2 linked regions of the Pelodiscus sinensis genome follow. The protein of the gene in region 2 binds, or shares a complex with, the protein of the main gene of each other region. Links are inferred from orthologs where the notes say so. Each region holds a gene or a part of one and is shown on either strand. Other genes may lie near its edges.

The links.
Region 1: CNOT9 (region 2) and CNOT8 share a complex: the UniProt entries of both Homo sapiens proteins name them as parts of the CCR4-NOT complex. The link is inferred for Pelodiscus sinensis from reciprocal best matches to the Homo sapiens genes CNOT9 and CNOT8.

Annotation. Positions count from the first base shown.
Region 1 is NC_134727.1:38,148,684-38,156,202, reverse strand, and holds the start of CNOT8 (CCR4-NOT transcription complex subunit 8), read right to left. Parts: upstream 3,405-7,519; 5' UTR 3,173-3,404; intron 2,574-3,172; 5' UTR 2,414-2,573; intron 2,285-2,413; exon of another isoform or gene 2,187-2,284; intron 993-2,186; 5' UTR 968-992; coding exon 851-967; intron 1-850. Other genes in the region: FAXDC2 (fatty acid hydroxylase domain-containing protein 2), read left to right, coding at 4,112-4,177. UniProt on the Homo sapiens protein: Has 3'-5' poly(A) exoribonuclease activity for synthetic poly(A) RNA substrate. Its function seems to be partially redundant with that of CNOT7.
Region 2 is NC_134717.1:924,845-932,938, reverse strand, and holds the start of CNOT9 (CCR4-NOT transcription complex subunit 9), read left to right. Parts: upstream 1-4,990; 5' UTR 4,991-5,118; coding exon 5,119-5,142; intron 5,143-5,349; exon of another isoform or gene 5,350-5,505; intron 5,506-8,094. Other genes in the region: USP37 (ubiquitin carboxyl-terminal hydrolase 37), read right to left, coding at 2,997-3,152. UniProt on the Homo sapiens protein: Component of the CCR4-NOT complex which is one of the major cellular mRNA deadenylases and is linked to various cellular processes including bulk mRNA degradation, miRNA-mediated repression, translational repression during translational initiation and general transcription regulation.

The sequences.
Region 1 (7,519 bases), on a different chromosome or scaffold from region 2:
ATCTCAGTGGTGATGGAACTGATTTGTATTCATACACTTGCATGGTGGGTGCCATTAGAAATTGGCTCTTTTTCTGTACCACGGCATATACAGAGCTTCTCTAACCTTAAAGGGCAATTACAGCTAATGATGATAAATATCCCATTTTTAAGTGTGCTCAGAACGGATGTGTGACCTTGTAAGGGAATTTGGATATCTTGGGGTTTAGAGACACTTAGTGAAGATAAAACACATGGTTTTGTTTTGAAGGACTGAAAGCTCCTGCTACAAAATTCCCTTCCCAAAACTGTGTGTCAACAAAATTCTTGGGTCTTTTATACATTTATCAGAACAAGTCAAAATCAGGCTCAAGCCAAAATCATTCTCTTTCCTGATCAGGCACTGCTGCCTTATTACAAAAAGAGAGTAATCCTATTAGCTAACACGTTGTGACTTGTGTGCCTGTTGCCATATATCAGCAGGAAGCCAATATGAACCTGCCATTCAAATTAAAAATATGCTAACTACATTAAACAGCTTAGAACCAAGTAGGCATGTTTTTAAACTCTATTGTATGAACAAAAAAAGTATTTACAGATTTCATCTGTTCAGCATGCCCTCAATCCGCACTGTCTACTTACGTGATTTCAGAGAATCTACAAAAACTCTAAGCAAGATATTGGAAGAAGACCATGTATTTTTAAAAAGTCATGTAAAATTTTAAATGCCAAGCTTCTTTCCAACTGTTCCCCCTTAATATTCAGCTTAAACGGACCCTGGAATGCTTATATTTATGAATAAGTGAGTAAGCTACCCACACTGAAATTCTCAGGTTAGTCAGCAGATGATCACTGAAGTACAGCATATTTACCATTGCAATGTAGCTGTAGCTGAGAACTATTTCTCGAATTTTCCTCATCTCCTCTTCCAGATTGTTTGCCCATACTTCACATATAACCTGACTGTTCTCCACAAGTGCTGCTGGCATCTTGCAGGAATTGGAGTAGAAGCACCTAATATCAAAATTGGAAAGTAAGTAGGGTAGTGTAAAACCTAACTGGCATAGCGCAGTGAACACACACAAACATGCTACTTTGCATTAATACATCTCAACAAATCAGAACAAAAATACAGACAGTGAGTTAGTATGGAATGTTTCTAGTCTGGAGTATCCCTTTCAGCTGGCATATCTGAGTTATTAAAATAAATTCTTTTCTGCTTTTAGAACATTTTTGTAATATGCAGTAAACTTCTGTTTTAAATTGGCAGAAGATATCCAGGATTACTAAGTCCAACTGAAACAAGTCTGCACACTTCAAGTATAAGGCCTATTTTTGCAAACCTAAAGAAAACTAATTAGGGATGTAAGTGACTAGTGGAGTCACTACTCCCCCCTGTTGCTGCCTCTATCAGAGGCAGCAATGGGGGGGGGGGGGAACAGGAGCCAGTGCTGGGGGGAGCCAGCTTAAAAGCAGGTTCCCCCCCAGCACCATCTTTGCAGGGGAGGCAGAGGTGCAGCAGGCAAATGGGCGCAAGCCAGGACTCAGCTGTCCCGGCTCGCACCCAGTCCCCCGCTGCAGGTCTGCCTTTTAAATGTAGTAAGAGCCGGGCAGCTCCCAGGGCAGGGAGCTAACCGTGCTGCAGCTCTGCCGTTGCCCCCTTTAACGACTAATCAAATAGTCAATGGAAATTCCTAATCCACTACTCAATTAACTCATTAAACCCAGTTTATCAGTCTTAGAACTAATACCTTAATTTAGTATTGCTTTTGCTACAGTGTTTTTCTCTTAGGGCTAGAAAGTGAGAATAAATAGCTTCTTACTACACTGTTATTTGTAAGATGTGTGCTGCTCTGTTTCAATTCCCCAAGACCTGTTCTACAAAGATTTTGCAGAAGTTTAACTATTCCATTAAGGATTGTGGTTGTATGCTGATAATATTACATCAGTACAACCACTTGTGTGGACAGTATTAACAGTTAAGATTATTCTAATACATTTATGAGACAAAATACATTGGTATAACTGCACTCCCTAAGGGGATTATGCTGATAGTTAAAGCAGTATGAAAACCAGGGGTAGACGAGAACCAATATTATACCTAGAAACAACATGCAAAGCATCTAGAGTTATTTACAGAAGCTGCAGTGAAGCCAAACAGTCCATCAAAAGCTTTATAAAAGCAGATACTGATCAATATTGTTTTACCTGTCAAGGAACTACTGTTTTTAAGTTTAATGTCATCAGTGTAGGCCTTTCGGTTCTTGCCAACTCTAGCTTTCCCAGAATTCTTTTAATGCCGTGATACATAGAAGGGGAAATATACCACCCTTGTAATTATGGTGTTGAAACTTTGGCTTGTTGGCAGCCTTTAAAAGATGAGATACTATCCATGGCTAATTATTAGTGGGCAGGTCTCCACATAAATGGCATACTTGTTGGCAGCCCCAATCAAGCCTCCAAGGATTTGTGGGCAACTCAGGAATGGGATACACAGGCAAAGCTGAAGTCTACATCTACTTCTGACTGGTGGCAGATTCACACTGCAAGAAGTCTGAATGCTACTGTTCTCGAGAAAGAGGGCACACCTGTGATCTGGGAAGGGAACAAGGCTTCCACGAAATTATCCAGCAGCAAGCAGTTGCTCTTTGCCTGGGACTGTCTCATGAAGGGACAGGTAAATCCTTCTTTAAGAGAAGGGGCTGAATCAGGCCACAGGAGGGCAGTGAAATAACTACCAGCGACTTTCCACCTTCCTTCAGGAAGCGGAAGTTACATTTCTCACAACAGAAATAAAAAGCCACAAAAATAATCCATGGGCAACTTTCTGCATCCCAATGCCCCCCACTGACTGCACCCTCAATAGCCATGGGGTCTCTTGGGTTCTGCTCCCCACTGCAGCCTTTCCTATTCCTTCCCCTTTCACCCCCCTCAGGGCCTCCCTTCCTGAGGACCCCCTCCCCCTTGCACTCTCCCACCCCCCCTTCTCCAGACCCCCTCCCCCAGACCCGCTCCCCCTTGCACTCTCCCCTCCCCCTTCTCCAGACCCCCTTGCACTCTTCCACCCCCCCTTCCTCAAGTCCCCTCCCCCTTCCATCCTCAGACCCCCTCCCCTGCTCCCCCCTAATCCCGCCCTTCCCCCCCCCCCGCTCCCGCTCCCGCCGGGGGTGTATAACGGGGCCTCCCCACGGCACCTGCTCTCTCCGCCAGGGCCGTCTCCTCACAGGCGCACAGAGGGCGCGGGCCGGGGCGTGGAGGGGGAAGCGGGGCCGCTCTAGCCGCTCGCGGGGCCGCTGCTCGTCTGCTCCTTCCCGCCCTCCCCCCGTCAGGCGGGCTGGCGGACCTCTCCCGCGCAGCCACACCACCGCCAGGCCGCGTCAGGATTTCCGGCCTGTCCCCCCGCTCTCGCGAGAGTGCACGCGCCGGTGGAGCAGGACGGAGGCCCAGACGGCGCGTGCGCGCAGCCCCCTTCCCGCGGGAAGCGCTGGGTGCGGCGGGGTGATAGGCTGCCCGCGGGCGCGGGACAAAGGGGCGGGGCGTCTGGTTCGAAGTGCGCCGGCGCAAGGGAGGGGGGGGAGCAATGCCGTTCTCCAGCCGTTAACGGCCGGCGGAACGGGCGAGCCCATGGGCGGGGGGGACAGAGCGGTGCCGGGGGGAGCCGGCTCCCTGCGCCCGGCTGGCCGCAAGAGGCGAAACGGGGCCACCGGCTCCCAGCCGGGCCCGCTCTCCACCCCCTACGGACCCCAGGCCCCGGGGCTGACGGGGACCCCCCCCGCTCCCAGCCAGGGACCCCCCCCCGCTCCCAGCCGGGCCCCGGGGCTGACGGGACCCCCCCCCCGCTCCTAGCCGGGCCCCGGGGCTGACGGGACCCCCCCCCCGCTCCTAGCCGGGCCCCGGGGCTGACGGGACCCCCCCCCCCCCCCGCTCCTAGCCGGGCCCCGGGGCTGACACAAGCCGGCCCACCCCCCAGCTCCTACTTCCCCCCCAGTCCAGTTGGGATCTTTGGGGTGGCAGGACTCAGTCCCCCCCTTTCTCCCTTTGGGGCAACCCCCCCCCCGGGTACCCACATTAGGCTCCCAGCTTGCAGCCATTGCCCCCTTGGGCACAGACCTGCCTTGCTTCTTCTGACTGGGATGGTCCAGGCTGCGCCGCGCCCATCTAGACTGAGTTCCCAAGCACGCCTGGGGACGCCTGTCCAGGTAAAAACCCTCCTTGCTGACTTGGGTTTGTGCCAGAACAGCTCTGTGGTCTTTCCTCTGAGCAGGTACATGTATTCGTAAAATGAAAAGTATCATACAGAAACAAGAGTCTTCTCACGTGACAATCAGCTCGCCTGCCCTCTCCCAGCAAAGGCTCCCTACATCCAAGCTGATCAGTCTCTTACATCCCACCAAGGGGATTTTCTGTGATCACAAACGTGTAACAGCTTTGAACCCAGAACAAGCATCTCTGTGAGTCATGCCATTATACAGGTTAGGCCTCTGTTCTTGTCCTCACGAAAAAGGTGATCAGGAAAAAAAAGTCGCATCCTCAGGGTGCAGTTTCAAAAGACTGGGTCTAGAGGTGGGTAATTTGCCTTCCTCTCTTCCTAAGTATTTTCAAGGAAACACATTTAACTAAAAATTCAATCTTGTTTGGCCCATAATTTTAACATAAACAGTTGCAATTTTAATACAATGAACTCTTAAGGTATCTAAAGTTAATTCAATAAGTTTTGTCCAGGTTATTGCTGTGTATGTTTCAGAAATAACAGGGTGTGATGAGCCTTCCCACTACTCTTAGGAGCTAGACTCAGGACAACCCGTTCAGATCTAATCACAACCAATAGCTACGGAAGACTTCACTCTGGCTAGGGTATCGCTGTCTATGCCAGGATTCCTTGGAGACTACAGGCCCAACCCTAGCCTGCCACAGTTAATTGGCGCATCACTAACACGCATCCCCAGCAGATCAGATGCTGAAGCGTAATTCCTGTCCATGAGGACTATGCCCTCCACTTTGCCTCTGGTTTTGCTGCTCTGAAGTGATTCTCAGGGGTCTGCATCTGAGGGAGGGAGATACCTGCCTGTCTGCATCTGGCTTTACTAAAGGAGAAGAAGCCCTTGACTGACAGGTCCCAAGGTTTTTTACAAAACATGAAAGTAGATGCTCTGCTTCAGAGGTTGTTCTCTTCCCATAATTCAGGGTTAGGTGACTTCTTTCATTCTACTGAATCTTGGTTTGGTGCCTTGGTTAGACAGGTTTTTGGAACTCGTTTCATTTCACATATCAGATTTATTTCAGTATCCCTGTCCTTTCATCCTACCAATAGGGGCGACTCTATGGGTGCTCCAGGGCTCAGACACCCACCCAAAAAAAATAGTGGATGCTCAGTACCCAGGACCAGAGCTGGATTGTGGAATGTGATGAGTTCTGTGCTGCTAACAACCTCTGCCCTTGGGGCAGGGAGTTTGTTTATATACAGAACAGGATGATTAAGATAACAAAACGCTTGTCATTAATTAAGAATCATTAGATGATCCTGAAAGCAGTCTCATGTACTCCAGTTAAAAGACAGGAAACAAACCATAGGAATAAATAATCCATTCTCAGAAAGATAAAGAGTGGTGTCCCCAAGGAGCTTGTACTGAGACCCGTGGTATTCAGCATATCCAAAAATGATCTTCAGAAAGGATCAACTGAGGTGCCAAAGTTTACAGATGATACAAAATTACTCAAGATAGCTAAGTCTAAAACAGACATCAAAGAATTCCAAAGGGATCTCACAAAATTGGGTGACTTAGCAACAAAGTGACAGTTGAACTTCTATGTTACATGCAAAGTAATGCATGTAGTAAAATATCATTCCTACTATACCGACAAAATATTGGTGCCTAAATTGGCTGTTACTCATCAACAAAGAGATTTTGGAGTCATTTGCTGTAGAGTACTGCAGATTCATAGAATCTTTCTCTTTGTGCCTGAATCATCCTGAACTCGTTCTGCAGCTTCAGAACACTTAAAAATTATCTCCAGTCATCAATGGGATAGGCACAAATGAATAATTTCTTAGCGTCCTTAACATGCACCAAAACAATAGCAGGGAACCTAGATGTAAATTAGATTGCTTGCAGTTTTATCCGGAAAGCTACAGTGAGATATGTCTTTAAACTGGGATGTTAGTGAAGACAACATGTAGGTGATTGCAATAATTTTAATATACAATAATTCATGATCATCTAATTATGTAATTCATAATAATTGAATCATTCTTACAAAAGTAAAGATGCCAATAATAGGCACATTCAATAATTAAAATATGAAAGTGTTTAAATATATTGTGAAAATAGCCTCCCCCAAAACTGACAGGGTATCTCCCCAAGTGCACACTCCTCTTCAAAAACACCTACTGACAGAAAGAAAAGTCAGTGCCTACGATTGAACCCTTCACACAGACAACTTTCCAAGCACTATGAAAGTAATTTATCATTTTCCAGTAAGTGACCTCTTCCGTGTCAGCATATGTTCATCGTTCTATCACAAACAAAGAAATGGTGCTTTTGTAACTCAGTATTTATTGAACTTTATCATTGAGGCTATTAGGAATATAAAGCTTATCTTTCCAGATTAGTTATTTTTATTCCCTTTTTGCTTTCTCAGCTGCAGCATATAGCCTTTAAGTTGCACGAGTTATACATTAATGCTCTATGTACTACTGGGGAAATTCTGTTCCAAAAATTAAAAGTTATGTGCACAATATTTTAAAATTGTCTATATTTTATTTGTCAAATTAACAATCACACCAGTTTCAATTCTTTTGGTAATTTATTTGAAAATACCTGTCAGCAACTATGTCTGCGACAATAAAGACAAGAAGATTAAGGAAATGTTTTTTGACAAATGGATTCCTTACTAGGTACATTAATAAAGAGCTTTGAGTAATAATTCATTTAAACGACAATATAGAAATGTATTTCCCGCGTCCCTCAGAAGCAGCTCAAAGGCTTGAGGGAGTGAGGGGTAATGGAGGAGTTAAAGGAGAGGGAAGTAATGGCTGGGAATTGCCTAATAGTTTTTTATTTGGGAGGGGGAGCGTTAGGGAATTGGGGAGCCTCCTCCATGTAGACCCTAGTTGACCCCTCAACTCTCCTATTCATTCAGACATATTTGCCCATCCCCATCTGTCCCTTCACTCCCTCTCAACAACCCCTCCTCTCCAAGCCTCATGTTTCCCTGCTATGGATGTGAATGGATAACTGGGTGAGGCTTACAAGATAACGGTTAACCGGAGCCTGGGAGCTGCTAATGGCCCACTGCGGGTGGAGGGCTACTCCAGCCCTGCCAGGTCCACTCGCTGCAGACTGGGGTGAGAGCTGGCAGCCTCACGTGAAGCCAGGAGCCCCGTGTGGGGCCCAGGTAGAAGCAGCCCACAGAGCTGACAGCCCTGTGGGATGGGGGCTGCTTCAGCCGGGATGGGACAGTCCCCCACCTGGGATCCCACTTAAAACCAGTTAAACCTCACATTTAACTGGTAAACTGATTAAATGGGATTTTACATTCCT
Region 2 (8,094 bases):
CCATTGATGGATCTAACCTCCATGAATTTATCTAGCTCTTTTTTAAACTCTGTTAAAGTCCTGGTCTTCACAACATCCTCTGGCAAGGAGTTCCGCAGGTTCGCTGTGCGCGGTGTGAAGAAATACTTCTTTTGGTTTGTTTTAAACCTGCTACCTATTAGTTTCATTTGGTGACCCCTAGTTCTTGTGTTACGGGAACAAGTCAGTAACTTTTCCTTATTCACTTTCTCCACACCAGTCATGATTTTATAGACCTCCATCATACTCCCCTCTTAATCTCCTCTTTTCTAAGATGAAAAATCTCTGTCTTTTTCATCTCTCTTCATATGGCAGCTGCTCCAAACCTCAACCATTTTTGTTGCCCTTTTCTGAACTTTTTCCAATGCCAATATATTTTTTTTAGATGAGGCAACCACATTTGTACGCAGCATTCAAGATGTGGGCATACCATGGATTTATACAGAGGCAATAAGATGTTCTCTGTCTTATTCTCTATTTTTTTTTTAATTATTCCCAACATTCTGTTTGCTTTTTTGACTACTGCTGCACGTTGAGTGGATATTTTCAGAGAACTATCCACAATGACTCTACAATCTCTCTGGAGTCGTAACAGCTAATTTAGTCCCCATCATTTTGTATGTGTAGTTGGGATTATGTTTTCCAATATGCATTACTTTGCATTTATCAACATTAAAATTAATTTGCCTTTTGCTGCCCAATCTCCTAGTTTTGTGAAATCCTTTTGAAGCTCTTCACAGTCTGCTTTGGTCTTAACTATTTTGAGCAGTTTAGTATCATCTACAAATGTTGCCCCCTCACTGTTTGCCCCTTTTTCCAGATCATTTATGAATATGTTGAATAGGACTGGCCCCAGTACAGACCCCTGTGGGACCCCACTAGTTACCTCACTCCATTCTGAAAACTGTCCATTATTCCTATCCTTTTTTTCCTATCTTTTAACCAGTTATCAAGCCCTGAGAGAACCTCCCCTCTTATCCCATGACAAGTTACTTAAGAACCTTTGGTGAGGGACCTTGTCAAAGGCTTCCTGGAACTCTAAGTACACTGTGCTCACTGGATCCCCCTTGTCCACATGCATCAGTACATGCATCTGACAAAGTGAGTCTTTGCCCATGAAAGCTTATGATCCAATAAATCTGTTAGGCTACGTCTACACTGGCCCCTTTTCCGGAAGGGGCATGTAAATTTCACCAGTCGTAGTAGGGAAATGCGCGGGGGATTTAAATATCCCCCGCGGCATTTAAATAAAAATGTCCGCCGCTTTTTTCCGGCTTTTAAAAAAGCCGGAAAAGAGCGTCTACACTGGCCCCGATCCTCCGGAAAAAGCGCCCTTTTCCGGAGGCTCTTATTCCTACTTCAAAGTAGGAATAAGAGCCTCCGGAAAAGGGCGCTTTTTCCGGAGGATCGGGGCCAGTGTAGACGCTCTTTTCCGGCTTTTTTAAAAGCCGGAAAAAAGCGGCGGACATTTTTATTTAAATGCCGCGGGGGATATTTAAATCCCCCGCGCATTTCCCTACTACGACTGGTGAAATTTACATGCCCCTTCCGGAAAAGGGGCCAGTGTAGACGTAGCCCAAGTCTATAAGGTGCCACAGGACGTGTTGTTGTTTATGCAGATTCAGATTAACATTGCTACCCTTCTGATACTTGTCCACATGCTTGTTGATGCCCACAAAGAACTCTAGTAGATTAGTAAGGCATGATTTCCCTTTACAGAAACCATGTTGACTTTTCCCAACAAACTATGTTCATCTATGTGTCTGACAATTCTATTCTTTACTATTGGTTAAACTAAGTTGCCTGGTACTGACATCAGACTTATTTTATACCCAATACTTGCTTTTTTGGTTAACTAAATATTTTCAGTACAGGAAGAATTTAAGGATGGCCTTCAAATCTTCCACTCTCCCCTAAAATAAGTACAGCAGAGAAGAATTTCAACCACATGACCATTCAAGGTCAAACCTATTACAACACACAAAAAACTCTTATGACTTAACAGCATTCATCATCATCCATATTCTCCAGCCACCAGTTGTGACTCGTTTAAACTATATTATAAAGTCTCTTTGGGACAAAGATAATCTTTTACTTTATATCTGCATCTAGCACTATGGGGCCCCAACCTGACTGTGGCTTCTAGACACCACTAACAAATAAAAAAGTAATTTTGACAAGTATGAAGAGCTGCCAGTTACTGAAGCGAGAGAAAGATTTAGTTCAATTTGCCTCTATAACATGACAGTAGGATCTCCCAAATCTGCAGATGAAGAGGTTTCTGATTAATCTGAACCGGAAGACAGAAAAAAGGCCTAAAACTCCTCCTAATGTTTCCTGTCCCAAAATATGAATATCATCAAGTGCACACATTTTACTTATCGCCTTATAGTTGGTATGAACCTTATTTTTCTGACAGCAAGAGCTATCAAAGCTCCAAAAGGAAGTGGTGAAAATCAAGTTTCTTGGCACACTAATAACCTAGACTGGACAGAAGTGTAGTTGATGTACAACAGTGAAGAGTTTTGCACCTGGACTAAGGGTATATTTACACTGGAAATGTTCAGCACTTCCACTGGAAAAAGTACTAGTGTAGTAGAAAAGGCATACGTGACCTAATAAATCGCCACACAGATGGTCTGAAAGTTTGTCAAATAAGCAAAAAGAGTTTAAAAAAGCGAATACAAAATAACAAGATACTATATAGTGTTTGGTTCATTTTACTTTCATGTCTTAAGCATTTTCATTTCTTCCCAATAATTGGTTTGTCCACTCCTGCCTTGGCATTCTACCCAATGATACACCTGAATACTGTAAAGTATGTTTATACAAAAGGATTAATGTTCTAGAAATGAAAACCAAGAAACAGTAACAGAGGGAAGTCTGTGAGATACTTAGTAGTCTTTGAGATGAAAGCTGTTCACAAAAGGGAACAATCCATGCATTGCTCATATAAAACACCTTGATATCTGAAGTACCTGAAATGTCTTTGGAATTCCTCCAACATTGTAGTGAACGACTAAACTCACTTTGTTGTCCTTCTCCACAATTTCAAAGCTTCCTTCTTTCCATTTTGTAATCCCAGTTTGCATGCTGCGCATCCGTACAGGCCCATGCACCTTCAGTGGAGCCATTTTTCTTGCAGATAAATAACTTAAAACAGTTGAACTAAATTTACTTCACTTTGAATCCTGTTAAAAATAAGAAAAATTAAAATTGGCAACTAGCAAATAAAAGTATCTGCATAAAGTGTAAAAATCAGGAACAGCATTTTTTGCAGGAGTCTAGAAAAAATAGAATACAGTAAATGAAATATGTATTAGGAAATCTTCCATAATTTGGCCAGCATTACTTTAAGCCAGTGGTCTCCAGACTCTTCAGGGTTCATGCTCCTTACCCAGACTGGGGGCAAAACTGTGGCTAAGGGGAGGAAATGTAGACAAAAGTAAGGAACCTGAGGCTGTGGTCACAGTTGGAGGCCAGACTCAGGGGCATGAGTAGAGCTGAGGCCTTGATGTGGGGAATGCCTCGCACCTTGGGGAACTCTGTTTTAATCCCTAAATATTTAACACTGAGTGAGATGACTCAGTACAAACAGTGAAAGATCTTGCAAGTCTAAGAATGACATTTACAGAGTTACCAAAACAAATTGATCTTGAGCTAAGAGCAAGCAGGGAAAGATGAGGGGGAAAAGACAACAAATTTTCCAAGAAACCATTTGGTTTCCAAAATTGGACAATAAAACCTCTAATGAGAAACTGACTTTTTATAATAAAATTTATTCTTTGTATTTGCAAGTTTTACTTATTGTCACCTCAACGTCACCTGTTTCTCTCTCTCAGCCACCTGTTGCATCTTGTCATTGATCTAGATTATCATCTTTTGGTTATAGATTGTGTTTTGATATTGGTACAGCACTTTGTACAACGAGACTCCAACTTGACTGAGGCTGCTAAGCAACGTTAATACAAATTACTAAAACAATGTGACAAATTACTCTTTAAATAATCCACATTTTGATAGGAACTGTCTGATTAAAACCAACGAAGGAAGGAAGCTTTGCATAGGATCACACACACAGCCCTTTTCTATTTAACTTTTGAGGGGGATGCAGTTCAATACAAGCTAGGGACACGCAAGCGACAATCACCAGGCAGCAGGGCTCGCAATGGTTCAAGTGCGAAGGGCGTTTCTTTCGGGGCAGTGAGCGGGTGCACGGCAGAGTCCGGGGAAGGGGAGGCCGTTCCTGCACAGGCCGAGAAGCGGCATCACAGGCCCGTGCCCAGGGCAGGGCGGCTCTGCGGGGCGAGCCCGACAGGCACAGGGGCCAGCTGGGTCCCCGCGCGCTCAGAGCGCCACACCGCGCACGTGCCGCGCCCCGCGCGCTCACCGGCAAAACCCACCGGGGGGGGCGGGGGGGAGACGGGGCAGCGGTCACGTGGGGGCAGCCCAGCGCGAGGGGCACCTGTGGCGCGCGCGGAGGGCAGCGGGCCCCAGGGACTGAGCAGCGCGCGGCCGGGCTCTGCCCCCCCCCCGGGGCTCTGCCCCGCGCGCCGGGGGGGGGGGGAGAGTGACCCACTCGCCCCGCCCCCCCACCTGCCGTGCCCGGACAGCGCCCCGCCCGGGCGGGGGAAGGGCTCGGCCGGGCTGACCGGGGGCTCTCGCGGCTGCAGGCGGCCGGAGGGGGAGGGGGCAGCTGAGGGGGCCCGTGGGGGCGGGGGCCGCGGCTCGCTACCTGCCGCTCGGGTCCCGCGAGGCCCCGCCGGGCGCTGCGCTCGCTCCTCAGGGAGGCAGATGGCGGGAAGCGGGCAGCCGCGCGAGACGCCCCGCGCGAGACGCGGCACGTACGGCACGCGCGCGCGGTGGCGTCACGGCGCTGCGCGCAGGCTCGCCGCGGGCCCTCCGCCGCCCCGCAGAGCGCGCCCTGCTCGCCCACAAGCCGCCGCGCGCAGGCGCCTCACCCTCCCCCCCCCCGGCGCGGAGCACGTGACGGGGTGAGAGGGCGGAGGGCAGGGGTCAGGGCGGCGCGCAGGCGGCCTGGGCCCCATGGCGACGGCAGCGGCCTCCTGATCCCGGGCCCGGGCGGCGGCGGCTCCGAACATGCACAGCCTGGCCACGGCCGCGGTGAGTCCCCCCGCCCCCCCCCTCCGGCCGGGCCCCTGCGGGCAGCGACGCGGGGCCGGGGGGGCTCCCCGCGGGCGGGCCCGGGCACAGACCCCGCCCCCCCGGCGGGCTTCAAAACGGCGGCAGCACGAGGCGGCGCTTCCCGCACGGGCGGAGTCGCTGCGGGCCGGAGGGGCCTGGAGATCCGCCCGGCCCGGCCCTCGTGGCGGCCCCGCGCCCCCCGCAGCCTCCCCTGCGGCCAGGGAAGCCCCGAGCCTCCGGCCTGGCCCAGGGCCCCTCCCCCTCCCCTAGCCGCTCTGGACAGCTGGTGCCCTGCCCAGCTCGGTCTCCCCTAGCCCGGACTCCACATCGCGCCGCCGCGCAGTGAGTCAGGAGCGCGCGAAATGGTGAAACGGCGGCGGGGTCGCGGTTTTCATGGGTCCTTTCAAACCGTGCGAGGGGGCTGAGGGCGCCTTTGAACAAGTCTCCCAGAGCTTTGACAAACCAGGACTAGGCAGCACTTTACAGACTCACAGGATGGTTTATTAGATGATGAGCTTTCGTGGGCCAGACCCACTTCCTCAGATCAAAGAGTGGAAGAAAATTGTCAGAACCATAGATACCAAAGGGTTGTGACAATTTTCTTCCACTATTTGATCTGAGGAAGTGGGTCTGGCCCACCAAAGCTCATCACCTAATAAACCATCTTGTGAGTCTTTATACTGCTGCATAGCCTGGTGTAGCTGAAACAAAGAACAGGACTAACACGGCTACATTTCTATCACTATCCCATAGCTTTGTGCGCTGTGATCGAATATACTTCAGGTTCATTCTCCTGCTATTTACATTTGGTAAATGCAGCTGTCTGCAGGGGGGGGCTGCACTACACAACGCTATCCTTGGTTGAGCAAGGTGGAGCACTGGCCTTTTACGACGAGACCACCAGTACAGTCTGTATTTAGAGTGCTAATCTGAAAAGAACATAACGTAACAAAGGGGAGGTCCAGAGAATGGAGCAAACACAATAAAAACAGACAACTTGATATAGAAGCATGAGCGTGAACTTACAAATCAGTCAGTGCCTTGCAATATTGTTGTTAAATAAAGGCTTCATATTGGTGTTACCGTGTTGAAAATCTAACAATATAGGCAGAAAATAGACAATTGTATGTATGTATTGATGTTTTTACCTAGAATGCTTCAAGGCAGTTGCCAGTTGGAGACTGTTTCTTAAATTATGTAAAATCAAATCTGCTATGTAATAGGGATGTAAGCGACTAGCCTGGCAGCTCTTAATACATTTAAAAGGCAGAGCCGCAGTGGGATTAGCTGCCCGGGGCCGGGAGCTAACCCCATTGCAGCTCTGCAGTCCCGCCCCCCCCATCAACTAATCGACTAGTTGATTAAGTGCAATTTACATCCTTATTATGTAATAGTCAGAGTTGCAGTTTGGCAGACACTGTGTCCTGAGCTCTTCAGTGATCCACAAATGGTCAGTGTGTATGGTGTTTTAAAACAGCTATGACCTCACTCTTGCATGCATGAAGCACAGCAGAGTGCATTAGTAAGATCAATATGTATCTGCAATGTTTGTGATATTTGGCATTACCCAAGATCCTAGGGAAGGAGAATGATACCTTCAGCCTTGAGAACAGCAGTTTAAAAATTAGATGATTTTATCAACAACCGCATGAAATATAGGTGGGATGTACAGAGAAAAATAACATCAGATGGGAATCTGTATGATCTGTGGGGAGAAATTTGATTCTTACTGAGGAAGGCACTGAACACTGTGGATGTATGCCTGCGTTGCTAAGGAGTGAGTGTATTTGAACTGTTAACGTGAACTGAAGCTTTCAATATGTCTAGTGAATTAGGCCTGAACGTATAGCTCTCCAAGAGCCTGCCATCATAAACAAACACAAAGTAGACTTTCCCATTTTCCCTGTATTTCTAAGCCCCCTTATAGGGAGTGCTAATAGGATTACACTTGTCACAGTTCACCATGCTCACGAAATATCCTGGCTTCAGGATCTGAAAAAGAATCTGGAAAACAGACAAGAGAGTCAGAGAAGGATTGATTTGAGGAAAGTTGAAGAGTTAAAATGTATGGCGAGCTTTGCAGGGCAGGGATCAAGTGTGGATAATACATCTATAGATCATCTGATGGCACTAAATAAATACTTTCCTAAGTTAATAAGAGCAAACAGTTAATAAGTCTACAGGTTCTTGATCCTATAAATACCAAAGGTGAGAGAGTTAGTTAGAATGTGCATGGTATATAATGGGATTGAATGGATGAAACAGAGGGAAAAATTTTCGAAATGTCAAGAAACACTTGCTGATATTGAGAAGCGAGTCTGTAGAATGGTATCCCAAAGACTTAGTCCCTAATATGCATCTCTAACCTCTACAGTTCGGTAAAGATTGATCCCAGTTGTATAGTTTCACTTCTAGTACTAGCTGGTTTCACTTCATAGTTCTTGAGCATGACGAATTGTAGAGGAGATTGCAAGGGAATACTTAAACCCAAATACACTGCAACTAGTTGGCTTAACGTTCAAGAAAATAGTCCTATTGAGATCTAGTTAAACCTAAATTTTGAGCTTAAACTACCAAGCTGCTACTTTACTTAGTGCAAGAGAATTTAGTTTATATCGCTGTTTTAAAGAGCATTTGAAAGATCATGAAACTTTGTTTTTAATGAAAGTTTAACTTCTCTGAAAAGGAAATCCCAGAGATCTTAAAATCCTGGGTTCCCCAGTGTGATTCTTTTATTTCTGAGACTTCACTGTCTGTGTTACCCTTTCACTGATTTTGTGGAGAAGGGGGATGGAAATAACTTTTAAAACTGTCCTGCTTAATCTTAAAAAGATTTTTTGAGTGTAGGTACAGATTTACCCTTCTCGGTTGTAGTCTGGGAAGAATTTTTCTCACAAAGCAAAGTATCAGGGAGTTCCCTTTGAGAGAGAT